Linked DNA regions of Caenorhabditis elegans. The protein of the gene in region 1 purifies or fractionates together with the protein of each later gene. This does not show direct contact. Each region holds a gene or a part of one and is shown on either strand. Other genes may lie near its edges.

Region 1 (4,711 bases):
AGACAAAGTAACAATGATTACGGTAGCCAACGGAGCGTGACTAACTCATTGAATCCAGAATTTGTTGGGGTAAGCAGGGCATTCATTATTTGCCATTTTTTAATGTTTAAAAGTTTATATCATCGCAGTAAAAGTAACTTTTACATACTGTAATCCAAACATTGACTGATCTAATCCGATAATAGTTTCAGAAATGGGATGACGAGACGTATGGAGATTGGCCCACCATCCAGAAATCAACATAAATATCCAATTTTAGTCTTCTACTAGTTGTTTTTACCGTTTGTATTCATATCAAATTTTCATGATGATCTTTTGTTTCCATCTCCAAGCTTTCACTTTTTGGTTGTTTTAATTTTTTTTTTCTGTTGAAATTGAGTGTTTTTTTTCTGTTGAAATTGAGTGTTCCATTTTTATATGAAATGGATTTTGTCTGTCTTGGAAATTCTTTTGAAGACATTGAATCACAGAAGAATGTTTAAACATTTTCAGAAATTGTACGGAAAAAGTTGGGACCAAGAGAATTATGGTAAAATAAAACTTGTAATATGTATTACAATTTAGAAATAAAAAACTATAAATTTTCAAAGTTGGTTTTAAGTGCGTACAATATAATAGCCATTAAAAAGATATAGAGTAACCATGAAGAAAAATTCAACTAATACCTTTATTTTTCTAATTGAGAACTAACAGTTCAAATCCTTTAATGGATACTTTACAAATTAACTGTTGTTTTTGTTGGTAGGACTATTCACGAACGAACTAAAAAACGCATTAAATGGCTCTGCCAACTTTAGTCAAATTTTTTAACAGATTAATGCTTTTTGCAAACTCTCGCTATGCATTGGCGGTGAGAGACGCAGATAATACTTTTTTCTCTGGACGTGAAAAACACAAAGGATAACCGTTTTGCCATCTGCGTCTCTTCTTTCACACGCTATTTTGGCGGTGGACGAGGAATTCTCCTCTTCCAGGATTTTCAAGGCCATTTGCTCACATTTCTCAAGTTTTCTTGTCCGCGAGAAAACATGAATTTTGAGGCAGCCAGCGAGCACGTGCCAAAAATTTTTGGTAAACTTCGCCCTGTGCCAAGACCTAATCAGGATGTGCCTAACGCCTGCCCAAGATCTGGAAAACGCAAAAAAATATATCTGGAAAAAATACTAAAAACTAAAAACATGAATAGTTCTGACAGAGACTGTTTCATGAATTTTGCAACATTCGATAAATGGTACTTTCAAAAGTGCTCAAAGATCACGGCCATGGTCACAAACTTTTAGATAGCATATATTTCGACTTTAGACCAGAATTGATAAAATATCCATTCGATAAGAAAAAATGTTGCAGACCTAGTTTGTTTACATATTCTTTCACACCAATTTTATGAGTTCAGTCTATCATCACTCTGAAAAGTACATGGCTTTATCATGTAATCACGAGAAAATCGAAACGCGGGATAGTTATATCTATTAAACTGACCATATTTTTATTCATTTTCTATCTGAAGATATGATTTTGAAACAATTTTTATGGTTTTTTTAACGAGCTCAACTCTTTAAATAGGTTGTTCTGATATAGGAACATTTGTAGATCAAAAATTATGATGATCTCAATTTTCAGTCTGTTGGCTTCAACAGCCATTTTGGTATTTGCTAATGGGCAGAGCAATGTCAAATTGGAGTTTGTTCAAGCGGTAAGTTATATGAAATCCTAAATGCCAAATTTAGTCCTCAGTGAAAGTTACTTGGGTAGTACAATTTATTTTTAATTATTTCAAGATGTGGAGACACGGAGAACGTGCATCTCAAGTTGATCAATACCCAATTTACGAAAAAGATTGGATTTATGGAGGAGGTGGTCTCGGAGAGCTGACTGCAATTGGAATGGGAGAAATGAACGAACTTGGATGGCTTATTCGTAAAAGATATGTTACTAAATTGAAGTTTTTGACACCAAAGTATGCGTCCAGAGAGGTATACCCTAAAAATGTTAGAACGTGCCAAAATATGATTATTTCCAGGTATATTTTAGATCAACTAATTTCAATCGTACCATTATTTCGGCACAATCACTTTTGTACGGGCTGTTTCCACCAAGCTTGTATGATGTCAAAAGTAGGTTGTCAAAAAATTGATTAAATTTTTTATGCCAAACGGTTCAAACTTAAAGCCAATATGACTTTTTCTGTTGAACGAATAGATAAATTTAGTCCAGTGATATCTTTACTTTTTAATTTTTCATATTGAAATTGTCTGCACGTCTCTTATAAAATTAGCAAAAATCCAACTATTATATTACCTCTAATGCATTAGTTTTGATGATTACCATATTCAGACGTTGACTATCCATACTCCCCACTCACTTGGTTCCCTGGATTCACGTTTGTTCCAGTTCACGTCGATGGTCCGGATCAGTGTGTATGTTGTAAATTTACATTGGTTCTCGAGTAGTCTTAAATAATCTTACTGCGCGTGCCAGTTAAAATTACAAAATTATTACAAACCTTTCCAGGCCGCTAGTCAGAACTGTCCATGCACAAGATACGATCTTCTCCAAGGGCAGATGTTGACTCTTCCGGAAGTTTTGCCAAAGTATACGCAGGTAAGGTTTGATTGAATTATACTATCATCGGTAACCGTATTCACGTTGTGATGGCTTTGTCGGTAACTATGAACAGGCGCCTAAAATGCCTGCCTTCCGCCTAGACGCTTGCCTACTAGTAGACCTACTGTCAAGTTTTTCGTGAACGATTGTTCATTTATCATTCGATCAAATGCGTAAAGCTACAATATGTGAATCTCAAATATTGTAGTTTAAATCCTGACTGCCTGAATGTAGAAAATAGACGGTAGGCAGGCACGTGCCTCCTCTGAATTTCAATTTTTAGGTGGTCCTACTTAACCGTCGTGTCGGTGGATATTACAACATGACATCTGGCCTAGACTCCTTCACAACATACCCAGATACGTGGAAATGCCAGAGAGCATATTTCAACAGAACTATGTACGCGAAGCTTCCATGGTACAATGAAGAACTCTACTATCAAGCCCAAGTTACATATGCTCCGGTTAAGGGATTTTTAGAGGGAAATTTTGGTTAGTTGGGACGAGATTAAAGTCTCAGTGAAGCTTGGTTTCAGAGAATCCTGCTGTCACTTCTTCCGGGCTCGATGTGGGTCTTGAAATCAAAAAAGTTCGATCCGGAGTTATTATCAATGAAGTTTTCAATCGTGCCAATGAAAAATTGAATTGTGCAGAGCTGGGACAAAACTGCACTAGCTATTTGAATAAGCTGAAATTCTATGGATATTCTATTGTAAGAGATTTTAAAGTTTACTCCATAATTTAAGTTCAAAAATGCATGATATCTAGCCACGATCTTACCGTAGTTGGGAATACGGTAGACTACGGTAGTATTACTGTACTTGACTGGAAGTTAAGTATACCATCATAGTAGGTAGGAATCTGTTCATCCCTAGCTACCTCTGCCTACCTCATGCCGAGGCACCAGTCAAGGCTTGTCGGAATGTAGGCAAGCATTGTAGGTAACTCTAAGAAATTGAAATATAAAAAAAAAGAAAAGAAAAGCTAGTTACTTTTCATGCGAATTTTTTCAGGATTTTCAGAAAAAAAAATTTTGACAAAAAAAATGTTTTTTTTAATTTTTGAAATCAATTTTCCAAGATCTCACAACAAATTCGTTTTCCAGCATGACAACAATGTGTACGGTGTCCTGGTTGCTCTTGGTATTCCACAAATCGCTAACACACTTGACGGATGGCCAGCATACGCAGCTGGAATATTTATGGAATTCCACAGAAACACGTCAACAAACGAGAGATTCTTCAAGGTATTCCAGAGAGAAACCAGAAAATTCGAACAATTAAATTTTCAGGTTCTGTACCGTGAAGGAGATGACACTCCGATTTCTGATGTGACAAGTCAACTTCCAATTTGTAATGGAGCCACCTTGTGTCCACTTGGAGCTCTTCAGACTTTGGCCGAGACACTGAAGCCACTTCCAGATATTACTACTGTAAGCTCTTGTTTCCAAAAATTTCGACTTTATAAAAAATTTTCAGCTCTGCAAAACTCCTCTATGAATTACTGGAACTGTAATTTTTGTTGTAACTCAATTTTTATATTTTTTTATGAACTATTTCATTAAAACTCTTTTTGTTCACACAATCCTAAACCGGTATTATAGGCAAAAGACAAAAAAGTAACAAACAACGGACTAAAGAAGTATTTACACATTTCACGGAAATTTGTCAAAATTGACAAATTATCCTTGATTAAGAGGAGCCTGTCCCATTGGCTTCAGATTTTCGGAAATTTCGAATTTGCAAGCGGTGAGTTTCTTGATATCATCTACAGTAAGATCCTTCCTGACTTCGATCAATGTCAATCCGTTCTTTGTGTCCACGTCGAAAACTGCCATATCAGTAATGATTCGGGAAATTACTCCTTTGCCGGTCAGAGGAAGTTCGCAGTGCTCTAGAATTTTTGGCTCTCCGTTCTTCGATACATGCTCCATTACAACGATCACACGGGCTCCGGGAGCAGAGACAAGATCCATTGCACCGCCCATTCCTTTCACCAATTTTCCCTGGAAAATTTTAGAAATTTATTAAGATGGAAGATTAAGCGGAAAAGTATATTTTTATGAAGTTGTCTAAATTTTTTGTTTTTGGGGGTTTTTCGTTTTTTTT
Region 2 (4,258 bases), on another chromosome or scaffold:
TCTTTCAGGTAGGCATGCCTACCTGATAGCCTCACCTCTACCTGAATCTCTATGTTTCTCCTCAAAATCCTCACCGATTCTAAAAACGGGTCTCTCAAAAAAGTACCAATATATTTTTGCTCAACTTGTTGCCTTCCCTTTTTTGTATCCCGGTATACTTTATTGTTATGCAATACTTAATTGTTCTCTGCGATACGCGGTGCTAATTAGTTTTCAAAATGAATATTTTTCAAATTTGGCCCTCAAACCACACAAACATAAAGTCGCCGACAAAAGGCCAGGGAGAAGAGGTGGAAAAGAAACATGAGTCAGTGTCAGGGTCACTTTTTGAATTTAAAACTGAGACGGAAGAGGAAACGGAGATGAACTGCCACTAGTTGAAATGGATAGCTTTTTGAACTTTTTTCGACAGGTGACAACGGAGTTCTGAGCATTATTTAGATGAAGTAAGACGTCCATGGTTCCTGATGCCTACCTGCCTGCTTAATAATTTTCTGCCCACTTTCCAACCGCCTATATGACTGCAATTTGATGAGAAATCTAGAGGGATTACCAACAGAAAAGTAGCAAAATAGCATGAGAGGAGCATTTTGAACAGCAAAAGTAGACGCCTGAAGCTACCTAAACTTGACTTTTGCTTACAAAAAACTTGCGAGGCAGGCGGCAGGTAGGCATCAAGCAAGCAGATAAGTTACTTCAATTTGAAATATGACTTCTGATCATAATTTCAACAGATTTTATCTCAGCTCTCTTTGAAGTAGTTTTAAAATTGTAAATTAAAAATTCGAATTATGTATGTAGATTATTTCCTTTTTTAACCAGTTAAAATATTATTACCAATAAGAACTGTAAGTTGAATTTAATGATCATATCAAAAACCATTCTAAAAAAAATTCCCGTTTTTCTGAAACGAGATGACCAAAAGCCGGCAATTTTTACAGTTTTACATGTTTATTGCCCTCTTGACTCACCTTTAATTGTTCTGAAAACATATTGTTTACGATTTGAGAAAGGGTGTCGTCAGTCTGTTTATGAAAGTGTTAAAAAATCTGATCTACTATTTTGTTTTGAAATTTTTGTAGAATATTAGCAGATTTTTTTCATGTTTTTGTAATAATTGTAAAATATGTTTTCAATAAGTTTTTGGAATTTTGATAAAAATGAAGTTGAGAATTTGAGTTTCTTGTAATTTTTTTAATCTAAAAATAATTTTTGAAATTTTTTGAGTAAAAAACATTTTTTTAACATTAAAAAAATTTTTGAAACGAATATCTCAGTTAGAAAAATTTTCCCCTTTTTTCTAATCTGCTCAACTTTATAAGCTTATATCTCGGCTGTTTTTGAAGATATTAAAAAATTTTCAACTATTGAAATATAGATAACAACTAGATGCGTAAATTGGCTGTTGAAAATTTTTTTGGTAAAACTAAAGATTACAGAGATACAGATTGCTGAAACTGGAGTATTTCAAAAGTCCTATAGAGTTCAGAGTTCAAATTGTTTTTTCTTTTCATATCACAATATCACTATACATCACTTCGCATATTACTCACCATCCTTTTGAAATTTCATCAGTTCTCAGTCTCAGTGCAGTTCAAACACTTTTATTGTCCTCCGCGCTCAGCGACCACCTATCCCCCAAAAAATTCAAAAGAACACAAACACTCTTTTTCTCTGCCAATCTCTTGTTTACCCGATATTTTTTGTTTTTCGTTTTGTCCTTCGGCATTTCATTTTCCAATCTCTTGTTTCTCTTACTCTCTCGTCTGTTTGTCCACAAGTTAGCCCGCCTCTTTCCAGGTCGGCCTCTGACTTGAAAGTTAGTCTTCATTGCTGTTGACACGCTATATCGACTGCTATCCAAAAATGGTAAGTCTAGAAAATATTGAAATTTTTTGAACTAGATGTCAGATTTATCTAAAAAAAAGTATTCATAAAATTTATAACTTGTAAAACATATTCAACCGTTATTGTTGTAGTTAAAAGTTTTAATATCTAATTTGGATTTTGAAATTTAACATTCAACGATTTAAAATAATTTTCACAAAAAATAAAACGCTCCTTTTAGAGCTCTCACGAGAACGACACCCCTCTCCCAGTTCCGTACACGTCTCGTCTCGGACAACCACTCGACGCTGGACAGACATTGAATGTTCACGGAAAGATCAACGAGGGAGCACAGGTGTAAGTTCAGGGGGTTTTCCTATTAGCTGACTAGGTGCCTACCTACGTGCCTACATTTTTTCTGTCTGGTGCCTGGAGGCAGGCAATAAAAAGCACTGAATGTATCATATTTTAGGTGAACTTTTGAAACAAGCCATATTTCAGAGCCGAGATCAATCTTCTCCAGGGAGGTGGTGAAATTGGACCAAACACCCAAGTGATCCTCCACTTGAAGCTCAATTTTAAGGAAAAGAAAGTTATTCTCAACTCTTACGAGGTACATTTTACTAGAAATATATAACTTTAATCCCGTGATTTTCAGAATGGAGTGTGGGGAAAAGAAGAGCGCGAGTCTCTTCCATTCCAAGCTGGACAAGAATTCGATCTTCGCATCCGAGTTCTCGACGAAGGCCTTGAAATCTCGGCTGACAACAAGAAGATCCACGAGTTCAAACATCGTCTTCCATTCCAATCCATTGAATATCTTTCTGTTCGTGGTGACCTTTCCTTGAATGGAATTCATTGGGGTGGAAGATTCTATAAACTTCCATGGGAGACCGCATTCCCAGCTGGATTTCTTGAAAAGGGACAACGTGTTCATTTGTATGGTATTCCAAAGGGTGATCGTTGGTCACTTGATTTGGTCGCTCGTAATCAGGATATTTTGTTCCATTTCAATCCAAGAATCAAGGATAAGGCGGTGAGTTTTGGCACTCGGGAAGTGTCGGCTGCTCAAGTTTTTTGCATTTTGATTTTGCGCGTTTTTTCTCTTCAAAATCGAAAATTCGAGATTTAAACAATTTATTGAAACAGTTGTTTTTTAGTTTTTGAAAACAATTCTGATAAGTTTGGTACTCTCAGTGTCTTAATTGTTTTGCATTAATAAATGTTTAAAAAATTATTTTTGCAAATCGAAAAAAACTGAGATTTCCGATAATATTCTGATTTTAGTAGTTTAAAAAAATTACAAAAACACAAGTTCTCCTTTACGATTTTCAATTTTCGACTAATAATTGGTGTTTCTGAAAGAAAATAAAAATAGAAAAATTCGAAACAGTAAAAAAAAAATATTTTTTACAATAAAGAAACTTTAAAAAATTTGATTTAACTTTTCCCTATAATCAAAAAAATTAGGTCCCTCTCCCTCTACGTGTTCCCCACATAATTATCATTTTGAATTCACCATGTTTTTCTTCTAGGTCGTCCGTAACTCTCACCGTAATGGATTCTGGGACACCGAGGAACGTGAAGGTGGATTCCCATTCAAGAAGGACGTCGGATTCGATTTGACCATTGTCAACGAAGAATATTCCATTCAAATCTTCATCAATCGCGAACGCTTCGGAACTTTCCAGCACCGTACCCAGAATCCAATTGGTGACTACATTGGACTCAGAATTGATGGAGAGGTTGAGGTCACTGGTATTGAGTTTTCGCATTAAATTTCGCGTTTTCTGGGAAATAATTGCATAATGTATAACAATTAATATGTAAATTAAATAATCTTCTTGCTTTTTTAAAAATAAATTCGAATTGATTTTTATTTGTATGTATTAACATTACTTATATATTGAAAAATTCAGTTCGTCTGTCCATAGTTTGTAGTCTATGTAGTCTTTGTAGTCTGCAAAGTTTTGAAGGGATATTGGTTAAGGGTTAGGGGGGAGATATGGTCAGGGTACTGTAGTAGTACTGTAGGAACAGGGAGCTGTAGTACTGTAGAAGTACTGTATGAATGCTGTAGGAGTATTGTAGTTTGGAAAAAAATTGAGTTATTTATATGCCTGAAATTGGGTTTTTTTGATTGAACTGGAAGCTCCTGGCATCTAGAAAATTTTTTTAATTAAATTCTGAAAGCGCTTACAATTTGAAACAAGTCCCCGACGAAACAGTTTCAAAAAAGTTCATTTTAAGGCAGATACTAATTTTCAAAGTTATTAAAATTAACAAAATCACCCAATAAAAAATGTGGTGACAACTTCGAGACAATGTGTTGTTTAGCGTAAAATACAAAAAAAGTCGTGCGTTGAATGAGAATAAAAAAGCGTTTTGTGCGTTTGGCACAGTACCAGCTCCCCTTTTCGTATCTCACCTT
Region 3 (4,937 bases), on another chromosome or scaffold:
TCATTTGTTATTGCTGGATTGGATACTGTAGTCCCATCGGCATGGGTGTATATTTTTGCAATTTGCCTATTCCAGTAAGTTCTAGTGATTATTTAATTTGACGTTAAACTTTGAAAGTGAAGTATAGTCAGTGGGCATTTTTCTGAAATGGCTTAATATCAAAATTAAACTGTTCAATAACGTTTTAATTGTTTCATTCACAATCAAAAATTGAAATTATTTAGTTTTTGTCACTCAAACTTTTAAAATTGAACCAAAAAATATTTTAATAATATGCACCTGATGTACCTAAATGTGTATTTCTCTATAGGTTCTCGAAAAACTAAAAATTTTCGAAATAATTTTCGAAGAGTTTGGCAATTTGCCAAAACGTCGGGTCTCCGCGGAAGAAATTAAAAAAAACAAAAACATTTTTGTTTCAATGGTCAATTTTTCTTATTCTTATATATTATAGATTCGCTTGCACAAAAGGTGTCTACATGCTCTCCGCCGTGACAACATCTCTAAACGTGACAATGGTCCTAACTCTCCGAAAATTCTTTTCGCTTTTGATCTCATTTATAGTTTTTGAAAACGTTTTCAACATGTTTCACATCATCGGTGCCGCATTTGTTTTCATTGGAACAATCCTTTTTTCAGTGTCATTTGCCCGCTTTTAAGATATCAATCTCTCTTCATCATCTCGAATTTGTATCATTTTTTGCATGGAACATTTCAGAACAATGTGATAATAAACTATTTGCACTATGAATTGATAATCGAATACACAAGTAGACTATATTTCCACTGTTGATGTGGATATTTTACATTTCAAAAATACACGCGAGAGAGTGGAGTAAACCTAGAGACGGAGACAGTGAGAAACGCCAACTGGCAAAGCGTCCCCACGTTGAGAGTAGGCATAGGGCTTCAGGATGCAAATTTATTGATTTTTGTGGCCCGGCTCCATGAGCAAAATGAGCCTTGAGTACAAAAGAACGGGTCTTCTTATCATTATTAATATTATCAGTTATCACCATAGCCGCACCTTCACCACGTAACACACTTTCTCTGTTTCTCTAATTATCTTCTTCTTACTGTTGTTAGGCAATTGAAACGTTTTCTGAACGTGGAATTGAAATTTTTGAAATGAAATGAAACGTTTCTTTAACGTGGAATAAATTAATATATTTAAATATTTTTTTATATTTAATTAAAATTATTATTTTGAAATTCATACCATCATTAATTCTCGTTTTTAAGAGTAAAAATGGCTGATCAAAATGCGAAAATTGAGGTTTGATATTTTTATTAAAAAATCTATTGATGAATATTGGGAATTTGGTTGCATAATAAAGTGCGCTCCATTGAGACATCATTGGTCTTGCCACGATACATATTTTTAGAAAATGAGAAAGCTCATCTTTAAAATTTTTGAAAATTTTAAAGCTGAATAATAAATTGCTCAATTTCAAATAATTCATCAATAGAGTCCTAATTTGTCGTCGTTTTGTCTCTGGTTTCTATGGGAAATATTCCAATTCTTTGGTTGCTATGTACGTTTCCTTGGCAAATTCCTTCGTCTTTATACTTAAAATGCACTTCTAGACGAAACAAATATTTGAAACAATGAACTCACATGATTCAAAAATATTCTGTCAGACTTGTTCCAATGGAAATAATCAGGTATTTGTTGAAAATAATCTAGAAATTTTTAATGCATCAGACGGCACTTCTTTTTTTTTCATTTTCGTGTTCCAGTTTGTTAATGAATAAGAATCTCTCCGGCTTTTCCGTCTTCTATTCTTCCAATCTATACACTCATTGTCTCAAATAAATTCGGGATTCTCTATCTTTCTTCCATCGAACACGGTTAGATTTTTATCCTCCACTATTTGAGAAAAATCCTGATTCTGGGGGCGTGTTCCTCAGCTTTTCCTCATTATTTTCATTCTTATTCGAAATCTAAATTGAACCGTTGCAATGCCAACCGGCAAGTCTGAATCTTCTGATATTTCTGAAGTTGTTGGTAACATGGAAATATCTAAAGTTGAGGTATGTGACTGATTTGTTAAGGTTATCAAATTCTATATATTTAATCCTAGTCTTATAAATACTGATTTCCTTGAATTAGATCAGCTCTAGTGGAATTTCATATTTTAATTATTTGTATTAATTTAGTACACCGTCGAATAATGCATGAATGTTTTAAACTGATCAAAAATTATGTGTTTCCAAAGTTTGGCAGATTGTCAAAATCTTAACTGAAAAGTTCAAAATCTAAAACATTCTAGGTATTTTTGACCGATTTAAAAGATATGTTGGTCTTCTGGAAAATATAGAGAAATTATAATTTCCTAACCATACCGCTTTACATTTAAAAAGTATCCTAATTACTTTGCATTAGTACAATTCTAAATGCTCCCCTATTATATTGACACAGCCTAGGATTGGTACATTTATACATTTTCCGTAAAATGAAGTGCCACGTCCCTTTTTCCATGTTTCGCCTCTTTTCCCTCTCTCTCCCTCTCTCTTTCGATTGCCTCTCCTACGTGTCGCTTTTGGGTGTCCCGAATTGCATTAACTGTTGGCTTTTTGTACATTCTCAATCATTCTGATAGTTTTATCAGTTAGCCTAATTTATCCCCCTTTTTGTGAATAGAATTGAAATGGATTCTAGTGCTGAACAGGTAAATAGGATGTTCCTTTGTCTTTGGGAGATTGGTAATTTTAAATAGGATATCAAAAATTCTAAATTTCAGGGTCTTGAAGCGTGTATCGGAATGAGCCACGAAGTGTCCACTACTCCAGCTGCTGAGTTGGCTGCTTTCAGAGCACGCAAGGTTGCTCTGATTACTGGAATTTCTGGACAAGTATGTTAATCATTTTTCTTGCTTCGTATTTACGCCAGCACTTTTTTCAGGACGGTTCATATCTTGCTGAGCTTCTTCTTTCAAAAGGATACAAAGTTCACGGAATCATCCGTCGTTCATCTTCATTCAATACCGCAAGAATCGAACATCTGTACAGTAATCCAATTACTCATCACGGTGATTCTTCATTCTCTCTTCACTATGGAGATATGACTGATTCATCTTGTCTCATCAAGCTCATTTCAACTATCGAGCCAACCGAAGTGAGTATTGTTATTCATACAGAATTACAAATATTCCAAGCTTCACGCAGACAGACAAAAATGTCTGTCTGCGTGTTAAGATTTTTCTGTACCTCCGTTTTATATGTTCTCAAAATATAACCAGTTAATTATGTTCTTTCTAGGTGTATCATTTGGCTGCTCAATCTCACGTCAAAGTGTCTTTTGATTTGCCAGAATACACTGCTGAAGTAGACGCTGTTGGAACTCTTCGCCTTCTCGATGCAATCCATGCTTGTCGTTTGACTGAAAAAGTTCGATTCTATCAAGCATCCACATCCGAATTGTATGGAAAAGTTCAAGAGATTCCACAAAGTGAGAAGACTCCATTCTATCCAAGATCTCCATATGCTGTTGCCAAGATGTACGGGTACTGGATTGTTGTTAACTATCGTGAAGCCTACAATATGTTTGCTTGCAATGGAATTTTGTTCAACCATGAGAGTCCAAGAAGAGGTACGTCAAATTTTTCAAACTGCAAAAAAAAGCCTGCAAAATTGAAAGCAACTCTCATGTTGGTATTTCAGGAGAGACATTCGTGACTCGTAAGATCACTCGTTCAGTCGCTAAAATCAGTTTGGGGCAACAGGAAAGCATTGAGCTCGGAAATCTGAGTGCTCTTCGTGATTGGGGACACGCCAGAGAGTATGTTGAAGCAATGTGGAGAATTCTTCAACACGACTCACCAGATGATTTTGTGATTGCAACTGGAAAACAATTCAGTGTCAGAGAGTTTTGTAATCTTGCATTTGCTGAAATTGGAGAAGTATTGCAATGGGAAGGAGAAGGTGTTGAGGAAGTTGGAAAGAATAAAGATGGAGTTATTCGAGTTAAAGTTAGTCCAAAGTACTACAGACCAACTGAAGTGGAGACTTTATTGGGAAATGCTGAAAAAGCAAAGAAGACTCTTGGATGGGAAGCAAAGGTTACGGTTCCGGTGAGTTTCAAAAAGTATTCAAGGTTTTTATAATTAAATTTTGAACTTATAAAAACCATTGTAATTGAAGAATGGTTTTACTTATCGAAATCCATGAAAATTATATATTTCAGGAACTCGTCAAAGAGATGGTTGCAAGCGACATTATCCTTATGAAGTCCAATCCAATGGCTTAATCATTTAATCAACTCGATCACAATTTCCAAATTGCTTTATTATTTTTTAATAGTTCCCGTTTTCTCTGTTATTCTACCTAACTTATTGATGATTGCTGTGATGCTTTTGGGACCTCTGGGATTATTATTTGACCTTCCTTTTTTTGAACAATGAAGCATTCTGTTTCGGGATGTAGATTTTTTGGTAAAAAACAAATATTTACTATTGGAAACTAACTAGACATTCAGCAAGGACGCAACGCACGGATGCAGCCACTAGGGTCCAAAGAGGGCGAGTTGAAGGAGAGAAGCGCCACGCAACGCCTCACTCTACCTGAATGTCTCGAGAAATACTTTCAATGTCCATGTAGTTTTTTGTTTTTCTCTAATGTTTCTCTGGCACCACCTACAACTTAAGTTTCGACAAATTTAAAAAAGATTTCGAGAAAGAAAAATAATGAATCTTCATCTTTCGGTCACTGTTCATGCCTCTCACTGAACCCAAAAAACTTAAAAGACTTGGGTTCAAATGTCTAGTTCAGGTGTCCTCGCTAAGATCTCAATGATATCACTATTCATAAAAAACTTTATGACACTTCAATCTTAACACTTTGATCTTTTCACGTATTCATGCCGTCATGTTCCACTGATTCGATCGGTTTACTATAATGTCCATCACAATTTTAATAGGAACGTCGAGAAACTCAAT
Region 4 (4,693 bases), on another chromosome or scaffold:
CGTAAATCCACATTTGCTTTTATTTCTGATTTTTGGGTTTTTTAGCTGTTTTCAAGCTATTTTATATCAAAATTCAGTAAAAACCGGTAATTTTTCGTCTATTTCCCGCAAAAATTACATAAATCATGTAAAAATGCTGATTTTATACCAAAAATTCACTAAAAATAAATAACACGCACTTGTTAATTCGGAGCATCGTTGTTTTAAACTCTAAATTTTTTTTCCAGAAATTTGATGGTTTTCCCAGTTTTTCAAGCATATTTCATGTTTTTTGGTGCCTTTAACGCTTCTGAAAAATTTTAGATTCTCGAAATTCCATCTTACAATCTCTCGATTGCTCTGAAAATCTCAAAAATCTCAAGATTTCGTATAAAATAGGATTTTCCAGGGTAAATCACGCGATGCCAATGTACAAGCTGACACCGACGTTCCCACCGAATTTTGAGGTTCATCCGAAAATCGCCTGCTATCCAGTAGGTTCGTATCATAATCCATCTTTCGGAGGAGTCGGGCCTTCTGATGCGGTGCAGGTAATAGACGGATTTTGGCTCAAAAAAAACTGAAATTTCAGGTAGAATCCGATCCGCGCAAGGCTTTGGAGCACAAACAGCTCTCACTGATCGAGCAGCTCAAAGCACAGACCGAAGAGCTCAAGAAGTTGCTGGTAAGCCTTGGAGAGGCTGGAAAAGCAGAGAGATCTGCTCAAAAACCTGCGGAAAAAGCGCCAAAAGAGCCTGAGAAATCCGCTGGAGCAGCCTCTTCAGCTCCCGGAGTCCCCGGAGCCCCCGCAAAACTAGACAAGGACGCCAAGAAGGAGGCTCGCAAGGCTGCCAAGGCAGAAGCCGTAAAGAAATTGGCTTCCGGAGAGGCTCCACCACAGAAATCCGCGAAAAAGACCGTAAATTCGACTCCATGGACCGTCCAGGACGACCGAAAGACGTGGGAGACCAATCTGACTCTCACCGTGAATCTCCCAACCTCCCTTGTGGCCTACGAGCCGCAGGAGCAGCTGAAAAACGCCACGCTGACAGTGCGGGACGTGGATTTGCCGTGGGCTCGGGCTCTCGCAAAGGTCGGCGCAAGCCGTGGAGTCTCGTTTGAGGGAGAAGTCAAAAATCAGACGAAAGAGAAGAAATCCAGTCTGAAAGTTGTGAAAGGTGCGGGATTTTTTCTCTAAAAATCAGAATTTTATGATATACCCTTAATTTTCAATATTTTCAGGCCCTGCTCCCTCCCTGCAATTGGAAAAAACTACCGTCAAATCCCTTCAAACTATCTGGAAGCTGTTGGGCTCTTCACTCGGGCTCTTCTCTAGACGGCCACAACAAGTGCTCAGCGCCAGTCATCAAGCGATTTGGCTGGGAAAAGTAGGAAATTTTAGAAACTTTCCCAAAAAAATCAAATTTTCTTTCAGGCCGAGCAAATCCTTGCCGGCTCCTGTGATCAGAGCTTTGTCACACGTGAAGCTTCTCAGTTCCTGGCTCGTTTCGACTCGTTAAGCTCTCAATGGGAGGTGTGTGTCGCTGATATTGTGTTCAGAAGCCTTCTGAACCTTGGGGAGCACCTTCCGAACAATGTGGAGTTGTGGGCTAAGAAGATTGACGCTTTGATTGTTTAGATTTGATTTATTGATGTTTTTATTTGATTTTCTCGGTTTAAATGAATTATTTTGCATTTTTATCTGATTTTTTCGTTTAAGAAACAAATTTTTTGCTTTAAAAATTCAGTTTACAATTACAACGATACTCCAAAATCCCGCAGCGCGCCCTGTTTACCGTAAATCTACACCATAGAATTTCAATTTAAATTCTGTCTTTCTTTGTTTTTTTCGCGATTTTCACCGATTTCCGCAGATTTTTTGCACTTTTCTCATCATTTTTCATCGAAAACTCAACATTTTCATCCAGGAACCAGTATGAGCGACGCTAAAAAAAAGGCCGCCGCCGAGCTAGCCGCGAAAAACCTCGCACAACTCCAGAAAATCGACATCGCCGCCAGCAAGATTCTCGACAAGGTTTAACATAGAGAATTGTGGATTTTAAAGCTAAAAATTGGTTTTGTAGATGCCATTTGCCGCGATTTATCATATCGATGCGGCGAGAAAAGAGTGGAATCAGTCGAATTGCGAAGGAACATTTTTCGTCTATCAGAGAGCTGATCGGCCATATTTTAGGTGAGAAGAAGCAAGAAAACATGCAAAAATAGCTAAAATAATCAATTTTAAACTTATTTATTTCAGTTTCCTCATCGCAAATCGCAACGATCCATCGGATTTCATCGAGCCGCTCACCCTCAACCATATTCTCCGCCACGACGGAAATTTCATCTACTTTTACAAGGATTTGGCCTCAATTCAAGCACTATGGTTCCACCAGATTGATGATGCTCAGAAAATCTACAATTTGTTGCAAAAACTCGTGAATCGTCTGAAAGGAAGCACTACGGAGCAGGCTCGGGCCGCCAAGGCCGCCTCGGAGGCTCCACAGGCTTCGGTTCCGGCTCCAACGCAGGCTCCAGCAGCTCCAGCTCAAGCTCCACAAATGGCTCCTCAAGCCCCACCAAAAGTGGATCTTCTCCAGCTCATAAAAAGTGCGCAAAATCCGCCGCAAAAATCTGCGGCAACGATCGAACAAATGCCGCCAATGCTCCAGAAGCTGATGCTCAAAGAGCCGGGAGCAGCAATGTCGGCCGATGAGCTCGAGAAGGATCTTATAAAGTCGGCAAAACCGCATCGGAATCATCTTTTGCAAGAATTTACTAACTCAACGTCGGCGATTTCGTTGGCGGCGGTCTCGACGAAGCCTTTGCATGGATCGGAGGGTGATGTGGAGTCGGATATTGCTGAAGGAGAGATTTTAGAGCCACTTGATGCTTCATTTGTCGTTGGAAGTGGTGAACAGACGCCTGTTCTCAATAAAGAACAGGTTGGAGCTGGAAAAACGTTTTTTTTTTGAGTGAAAAGCTCAGATTTTTTAGATAAAATCAATTAAAAACTGATTTTTCACGAGAAATCTCGAAAATTTACATGAAAAATCTTTATTTTAGTTGAAAAATTTTGTCAAAAATCCCATTTTTGCTCGAAATTGGAGCTAAAAAATGCGAAAAATCAGTTTTTTAACGGAAAATTCAGGTTTTCCAGCTAAAAATCTGCTTTCTCAGTGAAAATGAGCAATTTTTAAGCTTGAAATCGACTTTATTTGTTTTTCAACATGAAATTACGATACTTAAGCTGAAAATTTTAGGCCCAGGCTTAGGCTCAGGCCTAGACCTAGGTTCAGGCTCAGGCTTAGGCTTCTGCTTCGGCTTAGGATTAGGCTTAGGCTTATGCTGAGGCTCAGGCTTAGGCATAGGCCTAGGCTCAAGCTTAGTCTTGTCCTTTAGATTTAGCCTTGGGCTTAGGCGTAGGCGTAGGCCTAACCTTAAACTTAGGCTTAGGCATAGGCATAGGCTTAGGCTTAGTCTAGCTTAGGTATTGAAATCTCTTTTAAAAAAAGTACCGTTTTTTCCTAAAAATTATAAAAAAGCGGTAAAATTTCCGGAAAAAAGCGAAATTTATCTAAAAATCTCAGATTTTTGTGAAAAATCGTTAAAAATCACCGAAAACCCCCTAAAATTCAAATTTTTTCAGTTCATCTCAGCAATCGCCCACCTAATGCAAACCGACGACGAATTCGTTTCACAGATTCATCAAGCCTACGTCAGTGCACTCAATCGGCGTCTAAATATCGATTAATTTCCCATTTTTTCGACCTTTTTCTCATTTTTCTGCTAAAAATCCTAATTTTCCCCGATATTTCCCTGATTTCTTGCTGGTTTTTGAGTGAAAAAATCAAAATTTTCTCCGATTTTTTGCTAAGAAATTTTTTTTTCCGATTTTTCCTGTGAAGATTTCCAATTTTTTGCTCGAAAAATCCCATTTTCCCTCTATTTTTCCCACTTTCCATATTTTTTCAACGAATATTTTTTTGTGAATATTGTGTGATTCCTCCTGAGCCCTTTTGCTCATTTTTCCCCATAAAATTGTCCATATTTTGTTCACTGAATGGGTCTCCCTATTGATGATATCTCAAACCACACCGCCCTCCAAAAATTTTCGTTTTTTTAAATTTAAAATTCCCCATTTTCTCCACTTTACTCTAAACTCTTGATTGTGAAAAATAATAAAGGAAGTCGCGTCGAAAAAGTGCAGAAAGTTGGCTGAAGCTATCGAAAATTGTGGAAAGTTACTGATAATTGTCGAAAGTTGACGAAAGTTGTCGGAAATTGTCAAAAACGGCAAAACTGACGAACTTTTGTCAATATAGTAAACGTTTTCAAACACCGCCGACAAGTTGTAGAAAACTGCTGGCAAAATATTGCACGGATTTCTGGCTTCCCTCATAAATTGAAATGGAAGAGTTTGTCGAACTAGGCCATTTTGGTTCGGCCATATCTGGGGTAGATTTACGGCGCGTTGCGGCTCGATTTTAGTTGTAAAACTAAATGCATTTGTCCGAGTGGAGTGCACCACTTTCCCATGCGTTGTCCGGCGAGCGATTGTCAATGGAGCGCGAAAAATCCATTGAGGAAGGCCGGAACCCCGTGTATATTAATAGAATAAACATTTTCATGTATGCAAAATATGTGCACAAAAACTTTTAAAGAAAGTCGGCATCAATTTTCGTGTTGAGCCATTTGGAATAAAGATTATCAT

Evidence for each region.
Region 2: the proteins of pho-11 (region 1) and lec-4 fractionate together in Caenorhabditis elegans (co-fractionation; one large-scale study listed by BioGRID). This does not show direct contact.
Region 3: the proteins of pho-11 (region 1) and bre-1 fractionate together in Caenorhabditis elegans (co-fractionation; one large-scale study listed by BioGRID). This does not show direct contact.
Region 4: the proteins of pho-11 (region 1) and dcap-1 fractionate together in Caenorhabditis elegans (co-fractionation; one large-scale study listed by BioGRID). This does not show direct contact.

What each region holds. Positions count from the first base shown.
Region 1 is NC_003280.10:9,930,263-9,934,973, forward strand, and holds pho-11 (Putative acid phosphatase 11), read left to right. Parts: upstream 1-1,586; 5' UTR 1,587-1,600; coding exon 1,601-1,693; intron 1,694-1,778; coding exon 1,779-1,973; intron 1,974-2,020; coding exon 2,021-2,114; intron 2,115-2,334; coding exon 2,335-2,417; intron 2,418-2,511; coding exon 2,512-2,601; intron 2,602-2,887; coding exon 2,888-3,095; intron 3,096-3,139; coding exon 3,140-3,315; intron 3,316-3,708; coding exon 3,709-3,849; intron 3,850-3,894; coding exon 3,895-4,035; intron 4,036-4,081; coding exon 4,082-4,102; 3' UTR 4,103-4,169; downstream 4,170-4,711. Other genes in the region: C05C10.2 (DNA2/NAM7 helicase-like C-terminal domain-containing protein), read left to right, coding at 1-69, 186-245; C05C10.3 (putative succinyl-CoA:3-ketoacid coenzyme A transferase, mitochondrial), read right to left, coding at 4,285-4,608.
Region 2 is NC_003281.10:3,770,869-3,775,126, reverse strand, and holds lec-4 (Galectin), read left to right. Parts: upstream 1-1,800; 5' UTR 1,801-1,866; coding exon 1,867-1,869; intron 1,870-2,068; coding exon 2,069-2,184; intron 2,185-2,328; coding exon 2,329-2,440; intron 2,441-2,485; coding exon 2,486-2,863; intron 2,864-3,362; coding exon 3,363-3,605; 3' UTR 3,606-3,702; downstream 3,703-4,258.
Region 3 is NC_003282.8:8,986,026-8,990,962, forward strand, and holds bre-1 (GDP-mannose 4,6 dehydratase 1), read left to right. Parts: upstream 1-1,897; 5' UTR 1,898-1,962; coding exon 1,963-2,034; intron 2,035-2,551; exon of another isoform or gene 2,552-2,651; coding exon of another isoform or gene 2,652-2,672; intron 2,673-2,744; coding exon 2,745-2,855; intron 2,856-2,905; coding exon 2,906-3,118; intron 3,119-3,261; coding exon 3,262-3,592; intron 3,593-3,663; coding exon 3,664-4,073; intron 4,074-4,186; coding exon 4,187-4,249; 3' UTR 4,250-4,419; downstream 4,420-4,937. Other genes in the region: nstp-1 (UAA transporter), read left to right, coding at 1-74, 455-659.
Region 4 is NC_003282.8:1,052,009-1,056,701, reverse strand, and holds dcap-1 (mRNA-decapping enzyme 1), read left to right. Parts: upstream 1-1,907; 5' UTR 1,908-1,915; coding exon 1,916-2,014; intron 2,015-2,063; coding exon 2,064-2,173; intron 2,174-2,239; coding exon 2,240-2,924; intron 2,925-3,628; coding exon 3,629-3,733; 3' UTR 3,734-4,178; downstream 4,179-4,693. Other genes in the region: Y55F3AM.13 (FH2 domain-containing protein), read left to right, coding at 402-530, 572-1,157, 1,222-1,367, 1,415-1,618. UniProt on the Caenorhabditis elegans protein: Component of the decapping complex necessary for the degradation of mRNAs, both in normal mRNA turnover and in nonsense-mediated mRNA decay.